2 linked regions of the Drosophila melanogaster genome follow. The protein of the gene in region 1 interacts with the protein of each later gene in a pairwise test. Each region holds a gene or a part of one and is shown on either strand. Other genes may lie near its edges.

Evidence for each region.
Region 2: the proteins of Hs3st-B (region 1) and Dcps interact in a two-hybrid assay, tested with the Drosophila melanogaster proteins (one large-scale study listed by BioGRID).

What each region holds. Positions count from the first base shown.
Region 1 is NC_004354.4:19,246,989-19,250,913, forward strand, and holds the start of Hs3st-B (heparan sulfate 3-O sulfotransferase-B), read left to right. Parts: upstream 1-1,650; 5' UTR 1,651-2,152; coding exon 2,153-2,335; intron 2,336-2,750; coding exon 2,751-3,214; intron 3,215-3,765; coding exon 3,766-3,925. Other genes in the region: CG7992 (uncharacterized protein), read right to left, coding at 1-6, 66-126.
Region 2 is NT_033777.3:5,752,660-5,756,584, reverse strand, and holds Dcps (decapping enzyme, scavenger), read left to right. Parts: upstream 1-1,810; 5' UTR 1,811-1,907; coding exon 1,908-2,076; intron 2,077-2,137; coding exon 2,138-2,284; intron 2,285-2,345; coding exon 2,346-3,154; 3' UTR 3,155-3,267; downstream 3,268-3,925. Other genes in the region: Sec8 (secretory 8), read left to right, coding at 1-264, 318-921, 976-1,182, 1,251-1,427.

The sequences.
Region 1 (3,925 bases):
GGCAGACTGGAAGTGAATGAGACGTAATCTCTGGACAAGGATCTCCATTGGCGTGGCTAACTCACCCACATAGCTGGGCGCATATTTAAAGAACTTCAGCACCAGTTTGCCCCACACATTCGACATTTTTGCGATAGATTTGCGTTAGTTAGTCCAGCAGCAGGGAGAGGAAGGTTCGTCTATCGAAGGAGCTTAGAGCATTTTAGCGAGCAGCTGGAATGGAGATGCCTACGATGCGACGCCGGACAAATGGCAAATGGGCCGGTGGAAGTCCGGCGGAGAATTCGACTGCGACGAAGGCGGCGCAGATAAGGCGATAAGATAAGCCAACCCGACCCGACCAGGTGCATGTGTGTGGTGGCCATGGATACACGGGCGGAAAAGTTGAGGGTTTGGGATTATCTAGCCATTTCTCCGCTCGGGTTCATGAATTATGATAGTCAAAAGGAAATCCGATTATGTTGCGCATCTTGTGGAGAAATTCGTTGGTTATAGATCAATGTTTTTTTTTGTACCTGAATGTATCTTTTTTTGAGCAAGTATCTATCTATGGCATTACTCGAAGTACTATATTTCCCATTTTATGTAAATATTTTTACCCCAATTTATATGATCGAATTTCCTGGCGCTTTTTTCGCCAGTGTATCCCAAAGTGAGTGACTAATGCCGCAGTGGAATAAGCCACTTGGACAGATAAACAGATGTCCGCCGGTTGATAAGCTCCTTGGCAGTTGGCCCAACTGAGGGCCCCTACTATTTACCACGCTGCCACGGAAACGTACAATTTTTTGGCCTTTCATATGCATAAGAAAACAATGTGGCAAAGGCCATTGGGCCATTCCAACGATAGGGCTTAAAACTAATCTCAAATGGCTAATGGTGATAGGAGTACGGGCAATAGAACGTCCGGCGATAATGCTTGGTAAATTGATTTCAATCCAATATTAAATGCCAGCAAGTACTTTATCAGACGCAAATGGGGTGGTTGGGTTGTGGGTGGGTGGTTGGTTGCCAAAGTGGGTGGGGGTAAGTTCTTGGTTAGTTTGTTTACCTTTGAGCGGAAAATTGATTGAAGCCGAGAGCAAAAAAGAGAGAGAGAGAGAGTTGCGACAGGAAGTAAGAAAATAAAAGGCCGTATACGAAAAGATTATGGTCGAATAAATATTAAGATGGCATTCCCAGCCTACATAACAAACTATATACATATATACATTTTTAGAAATAATAAAAAATATTAGAAATACTACTTAACGATTGCGTTTTTGGAGTACATTTTATCATGTATTCGTTGTGAAGTTAGAAATTAACAAATCAATAATGTCTATTATTATTGCTTAATATAAATATAACTTTATCAGACTTGGAAATTAATTACTAACTTAAGTGAAATACTTATTTATTAAGATTTGATTTGTGTAGAAAGCAAAGATTTCGTCAAACCCTCACAAAGCGGAAATTCTTCAGATTTTAGTATCTTTTGATTTAACTATATATGTCTGCTTTCTTTCTTAAAGACATGATGTGATAGCAAGCTGTCACTACATTAATTATCTGCTACATTCAAGACTTGGCACTTCTTTCGGGCAGTGTACATTTGCGACGTCACACCAACGGCGATTCGACGAGCTGGCGAGAGAGCAAGCAAAACGCTCAGTTGCATAAGCGTCCCGAGACGAGAGAGGATGTGTCCAATGCGCCTGTGCGCTTCCCAGGCGCAACCATGACACGGCCGCTTCCCCCACCCATCCTGTCATCCTGCACAAACGGAGCCGAACCGGCGGCCCAGGCAGCGCTTATCCGCTGGCAGGGCACCCCAATGTCTTGGCCCTGCCTTATCCCTGGCTTTCACTTCCGCAACTCGGCTGCGACGACAGCTCCGGCACTTGCAGGCCGAACTCGTAGCGCCAGCACCACCCCAACCACACCAACCACCCACCAGCCACCTAACAGCAGCAGCAACCACCAGCAACTACCAGCAGCTCCAGCGTTGCGAACAGCCCCATTCCTTCAGTTGACTTCGCGTTGGCGGTAGCCGCCAGCCGCTGCTGCGATTGCAAATCACAATCGGAATCCGGATGCTGCAGGCAGTGCTCCGGGGCGACTGAGTGGCAATGGAATTTGACGGAGCGCTCGGAACCGATTATACCGCCAGATGCGAGACACGGCAGCCACTAGCGCCCAGCCAGCCATGATTGTGATGAGCATCTGGTGCAGCAGCCTCAGCCTGAGCAGCCGCAGCCTGGCCATCGCCCTGGTGATCTGCGTGACTCTGGTCTACTTCTCCTACAGCTTCAATGCCTGCCTCCTGGCCAGCATCAGTCGCAGTCTGCAGCAGGTGAATATGTCCACGAATCACTGGACAATGTCTAAGTGTAGGGGCTAAATGTATCCAATATCCAATGCATTTATTCATGAAAACAAACTGATAATTGGAAAATCGAATATAAAGTTTCGCTACACACATGTGTAAAGTGGAGCCAACTCAAAATTAGGGGGGGGGGGGGGGTTGTAATAATCCCCAGCGGTTTCAAAACATTTAACAAGCTGTCCAAAAGTGTGCTGTGAAAAGTTTAAGTTTTGTCTTTCGCTGAACTTTGCGATGCTATCTACATACATATATACGATTATATATATGTACATTTATAGTTGCATACTTTTCGGCATACTTACAAGTTGGGCATTTTCATAAGCCAATATGTTGATATGTTTCGCACGATGTGTGGCATTGACCTCTGACCTCTCCCGCGCAGAGCAACTTACGCAATCTACTGGCGCTGACCTCCTCGCCCCGCAACGAGACCAATAACGCCGCCAACAGCAGCAGCAGCAACAGCAGCAGCAGCAGGAACAGCTCATCCACCACCGGTGCTCCGCCGGCACAGACGGTTACTAGCAGCCTGGATGGGGCGCCCAAGTATCAGCTGCTCCGTCAGCAGGGGCTCCGACCATCGCGCCACCTGCCCGACACGCTCATCATTGGCGTGAAGAAGAGCGGGACGCGGGCGCTGCTCGAGTTCATCCGCCTGCATCCGGACGTGCGGGCCGCCGGTTCGGAGGTGCACTTCTTCGACAGGCACTACCAGCGGGGACTACGCTGGTACCGCCACCACATGCCGTACACTATCGAGGGCCAGATCACCATGGAGAAGACGCCCAGCTACTTCGTCACCAAGGAGGTGCCGCAGCGCGTCTACCACATGAATCCGGCAACAAAGTGAGCTTTTCTACATCAAACCTATTGTGATCATAATCGTAAATTGTTACTCCATCAGATTTGATAGAACTTAAAAACGGTCAATTCTTAAAAATGATATTTTTAGAATACTGCACTTTATCCACAAGACTGTATTTAGTCATAGCATACTTTTTAGCACCTATAATAGAAGTGTTGAAAATTGAAGAGAGATACTTTTTAAGGCCGATTTGATATCCCTTAAATATTGAAACCGTACGTAAATCGTAGCATACTATATAATAAAAGTGTTTCAAACGCTTAGCTGAGATTTTTAAGGCGGATATCCCTTAAATATTGAGTCCTTTTAAATATGTGCTTTATACACAAGACTTTAGAACTTGTTTTAGGTTTTATCATACTTTTAAGCACCTTAAGTGAAATGGTTTTCGGAATACAACATTCGATTTGATCAACATAGAAGGGATTAACATTATATTCTAAATGCATTATGCGTTTTACATTAACCCTACGTATCTGGACCATCAATCACTAGCATATCTTCACTTAACCTCAATTTTATACGCCCGTAGATTACTGATTGTGGTGCGGGATCCGGTGACGCGGGCCATCTCCGACTACACACAGGCGGCGAGCAAGAAGGCGGACATGAAGCTCTTCGAGCAGCTGGCCTTCGTCAACGGTAGCTACTCGGTGGTGGACACCAACTGGGGCCCGGTGAAGATCGGCGTC
Region 2 (3,925 bases), on another chromosome or scaffold:
TGAGGAAATAAAGGCTCTTAATCTAAGCAGGCCGTTGCTGCAGTCTACTGTGATGGTCGAACGGAGGTTGATGGAAACTAAGAACCTCATTCAAGACTTGCCCTGCTACTCCGAAGACCTGCTTAAAATGGTGTGCGCGTTGTTGAAGGCCTATCGGGAAATATGTCAGGCGGCCTATCGCGGAATCGTGCAGCCAGATTCAGAGGATAAGAGAATTTACAGCGTGGCATGGCTTAAAGATGAAGATATCAGCAGGTTTTTAAAGTAAGTATAAAGGTATAAAAGCTACATGAATTTATAGTTTCTTCACTATTTAGAACGCTTCCCAACTGGACTGATTTAAAGACCTACAGTCAGAAGTCGCGCCACAACCGAAAACTGCATCGCGGAAGCTTTGAGCCGTCGGAGGAGGAGAGCCCGTTGCAGGTTCAGCAGCGCAACATCCGCGAGGCTGAAATGCTGACCAGTAATTTAGGCGAGGGTGGGATCACCCAACAAGAGATTTTGGTCGAGATCAGTGTGCTTAAGGAGCTGGCCATACTGCAGGAGAGCATGGAGTGGTTTTCGTGCCGAGTGTCGGAATTTGCCAACGACTTACGCCGGCCGTTGGTAAACGGACTTAACGCCGTTCCAGCTGAGTGCGGCGCCGACATTGCTGTGAAGGATGGGACGATCAAAGTGATGACTAATCTGGCTTTGGAGTTTGATGAGCTGGCGAACACCTGCCTGCTGGTATTGCATCTGGAGGTGCGCGTTCAATGCTTCCACTATCTGCGCTCGAAGTCGAGTGTAAGGACCAACAGCTATGTGGGCTCCAAGGATGATATCTTGGAGCCCGACCGCCAGGTGCAAGTTCTGACCAAACGACTGTCTGAGATGGATGAGGCGTTTAGTGCCACTCTACATCCGAGGAAGACCAGGGTAAGTTGAATATTCGTCTCCAGTTGCATTTTGCTCGAACGTATTCTTCTCTAGTACATTTTCGAGGGTCTGGCGCACTTGGCATCGCGCATTCTTATCCAGGCCTCCAATTATCTGGAGCACATAGATCAAATAACCGTGCAGCGCATGTGCAGGAACGCGATTGCCCTGCAGCAAACATTGAGTAACATAACTGCCTCCAGGGAAGTGGCTTTGGATCAGGCGAGACACTTCTATGAGCTGCTTTGCATGGAGCCAGACGTAAGAGTGATTGGCCCAAGTTTTGTAATTCACCTTTTTACTTAGAAACACTTTGCACTTACCCACAGGAAATACTCAATGCGTTGCTGGAGCGGGGCACTCAGTTCTCGGAAATGCAGCTGCTCAATGCCTTGCAGTTGTCCTGCAAGTCCTTCGGCATAACCGACGCCAATCTCCTCGCTTCCTATCAGCAGAAGCTGTCGGACATACTAGGCGCCAAGCCCTCGAAGGGAGTAGTTGTGTAGTTAGCGTGGCAGGCGGCGGGTAAAACCAATTTTAATATCCATACTTTTGTTTACATCGGCTGCAGGTGTAAGTGCAAATTGTATGTTAGTGTTAAGCTCAAAATAATTGCGAATGTTCTGAACATGATTGGCGAGCACTTAGTGTTGTAGCCGTTTGTAAAGATACATATTCTAAAGATCATTAACAGTACTTCAATGGCCTATACACAATAAATGAGAATTCAACAACGATGTTTTGACTGTATTAATTTGCTGCATCTAGTGTATCTAATTTTAACATTTTTTCAACTCAACCGGTTGCTAAACCGTTTCAGCAATGTTATTTAACAGGGTTTGAGTGCTCGCTAAATGGACTTACGAAATGAGTATGGAATTTTCGTGCAGCCCAGTCATGGTCACGCTGCCTCTCTGAAAAGCCGCAAGAAAATAAAAATAAATATATCTTTCTAGCTATTATTATTGTTGTTATTATTAACAAAAATGTCGGAAACAGTTGATAGCACAGAGGTAAAGTCGCCGTCGTACGACTTATCCAAGTTCCAACTGAAGCGAATCCTAACCAACAACAGCGTTAGGAAAAGTATATCCCTGCTTGGCACTTTTCCGGATTTAGGAACCGATGATGCCATTGTTGTTTTCGAGAAAAATGGTATAAAAGCGTAAATGAAAGCAACTAATGTTCGCTACAGTATAATCCTTACTAACCGCAGCGTACCGGGAAAGCGATGTGGCCACGGCGTCATCAGAAGAGTCTCCCAAGAAGCCTAGCTATTTTACCGCGGACCTGAAAGTTGACACTGAGTTTATCAACAATATCTACGGCAGTTTTCAGGTTGTGCCGACCCAGGATTTGTGCAGTAAATATTAGATTCATAATTCATACTGATAAATCATAGATTTTTATCATTCATTTCGCAGGTGTGAAAAGCACAGTCATTTATCCCGCCACCGAGAAGCACATCGAGAAATACTCAGTATCTCAAAAGTATCTCATCCGGGAGACTCCTGATCTCTACCAAAGAATAACTCTTCCATATCTCACCTCAAGTCAATTCTCCCTCGAGTGGGTCTACAACATACTCGAGCATAAGCAGGAGACGGAACGTATCGTGTACGAGGACAGGGATCCAAAGACTGGCTTTATCCTTCTGCCCGATCTCAAATGGGACGGACGCAATGTGGAAACCCTCTATCTGCTGGGAATTGTCCACAAGCGCGACATCAAGTCTCTGCGCGACTTGAATGAAAGTCATCTCGATCTTTTGCGCAACGTGCGCCAAGCGTCGAAGGACGCAATTGCCAAGCTATACGGCATTAATCCCAATCAGCTGCGCATGTACTTTCATTACCAGCCGTCCTTCTATCACCTCCACGTGCACATCAATCCAGTACGGAACGATGCACCGGGCATATGGTGCGAGAAGTCCCACATGCTGGACACGGTGATCAACAACTTGGAGCTGATGCCGGACTACTATCAGCGAGCCACCTTGCCGTTTGTCCTGTACGAAGGCAATAAGCTGTTGGATCTCTATGAGCAGGAGCTACCCATTAGAGCGCTGACAGTATCGAGCGACGATAAGGAGCTCCCTGACTCAGACTCTTTGAACGTCGCTCCACCGGAAGGCTTTAGCGATGAGGAGCCGGAGGAGAGGCAGTGCAAGCGCATAAAGTTGGGCTCGCCGGAGCCCAAGGAGGCCGAGTCCGCTGTTCAGGCGTGTGCCTAAACTGGTATTACTTAATGAGAAAGCTAACCCTAGATGTTGCCTATCAAAAATACATCCTACTTATGATCATTCAATTCAAAATAAAGTTATTTTCAAAAATTTCGTTTGAGAGCACTTGCTGGAAGTACACATTATTAATTGTTATAAAATATTCAGAATATTTCTTTTCGTTTCACACATTTAAAAACAGTCGCTTAAGAGAAAACGATTGAATTCTGAGTACCTCGTGAATAGTTGTGATGCCTCACTGCTTTGACATCATTGTAATGGGGTTCGCAAATAAGAATCATATATACACTATTTAACTTCATTTATTTTTTCATATACAAAAATCACGTCTGATCGCTATGACCGCAAAATTACAAGAGCGAAAGAAAGAATACAGTTCAGTTCAATTAGCATCGATATATAAAATGTTAATCCGCTGTTAAGACAGCTGAAGCACCGGGTGACTCCGCTCATAATCCGTACATGCCGCCCGCCAATGCGTCGTCCAGCATGAAGGCTCCTTGTGATTCTTGATCCGTGTGTTGATCATAATTATGTTGAAATCGGAAGTGGACAAAGCTTTGTGATTGACCTCTTTTGAATGCCAGATTTCGTCTTTAATGTAACCACTCTGACTAGCGAGTCCGATCCAGGGTGCAGTTCGACGACTCGGCCTATAGTCCATTTAGCTGGTGGTAGATTATCATCCTTTATAATGACTAAGTCGTTGATGTTAAGATTATCTTTGATTTGGCACCACTTTGGCCGAGTTTGCAAGTGTGA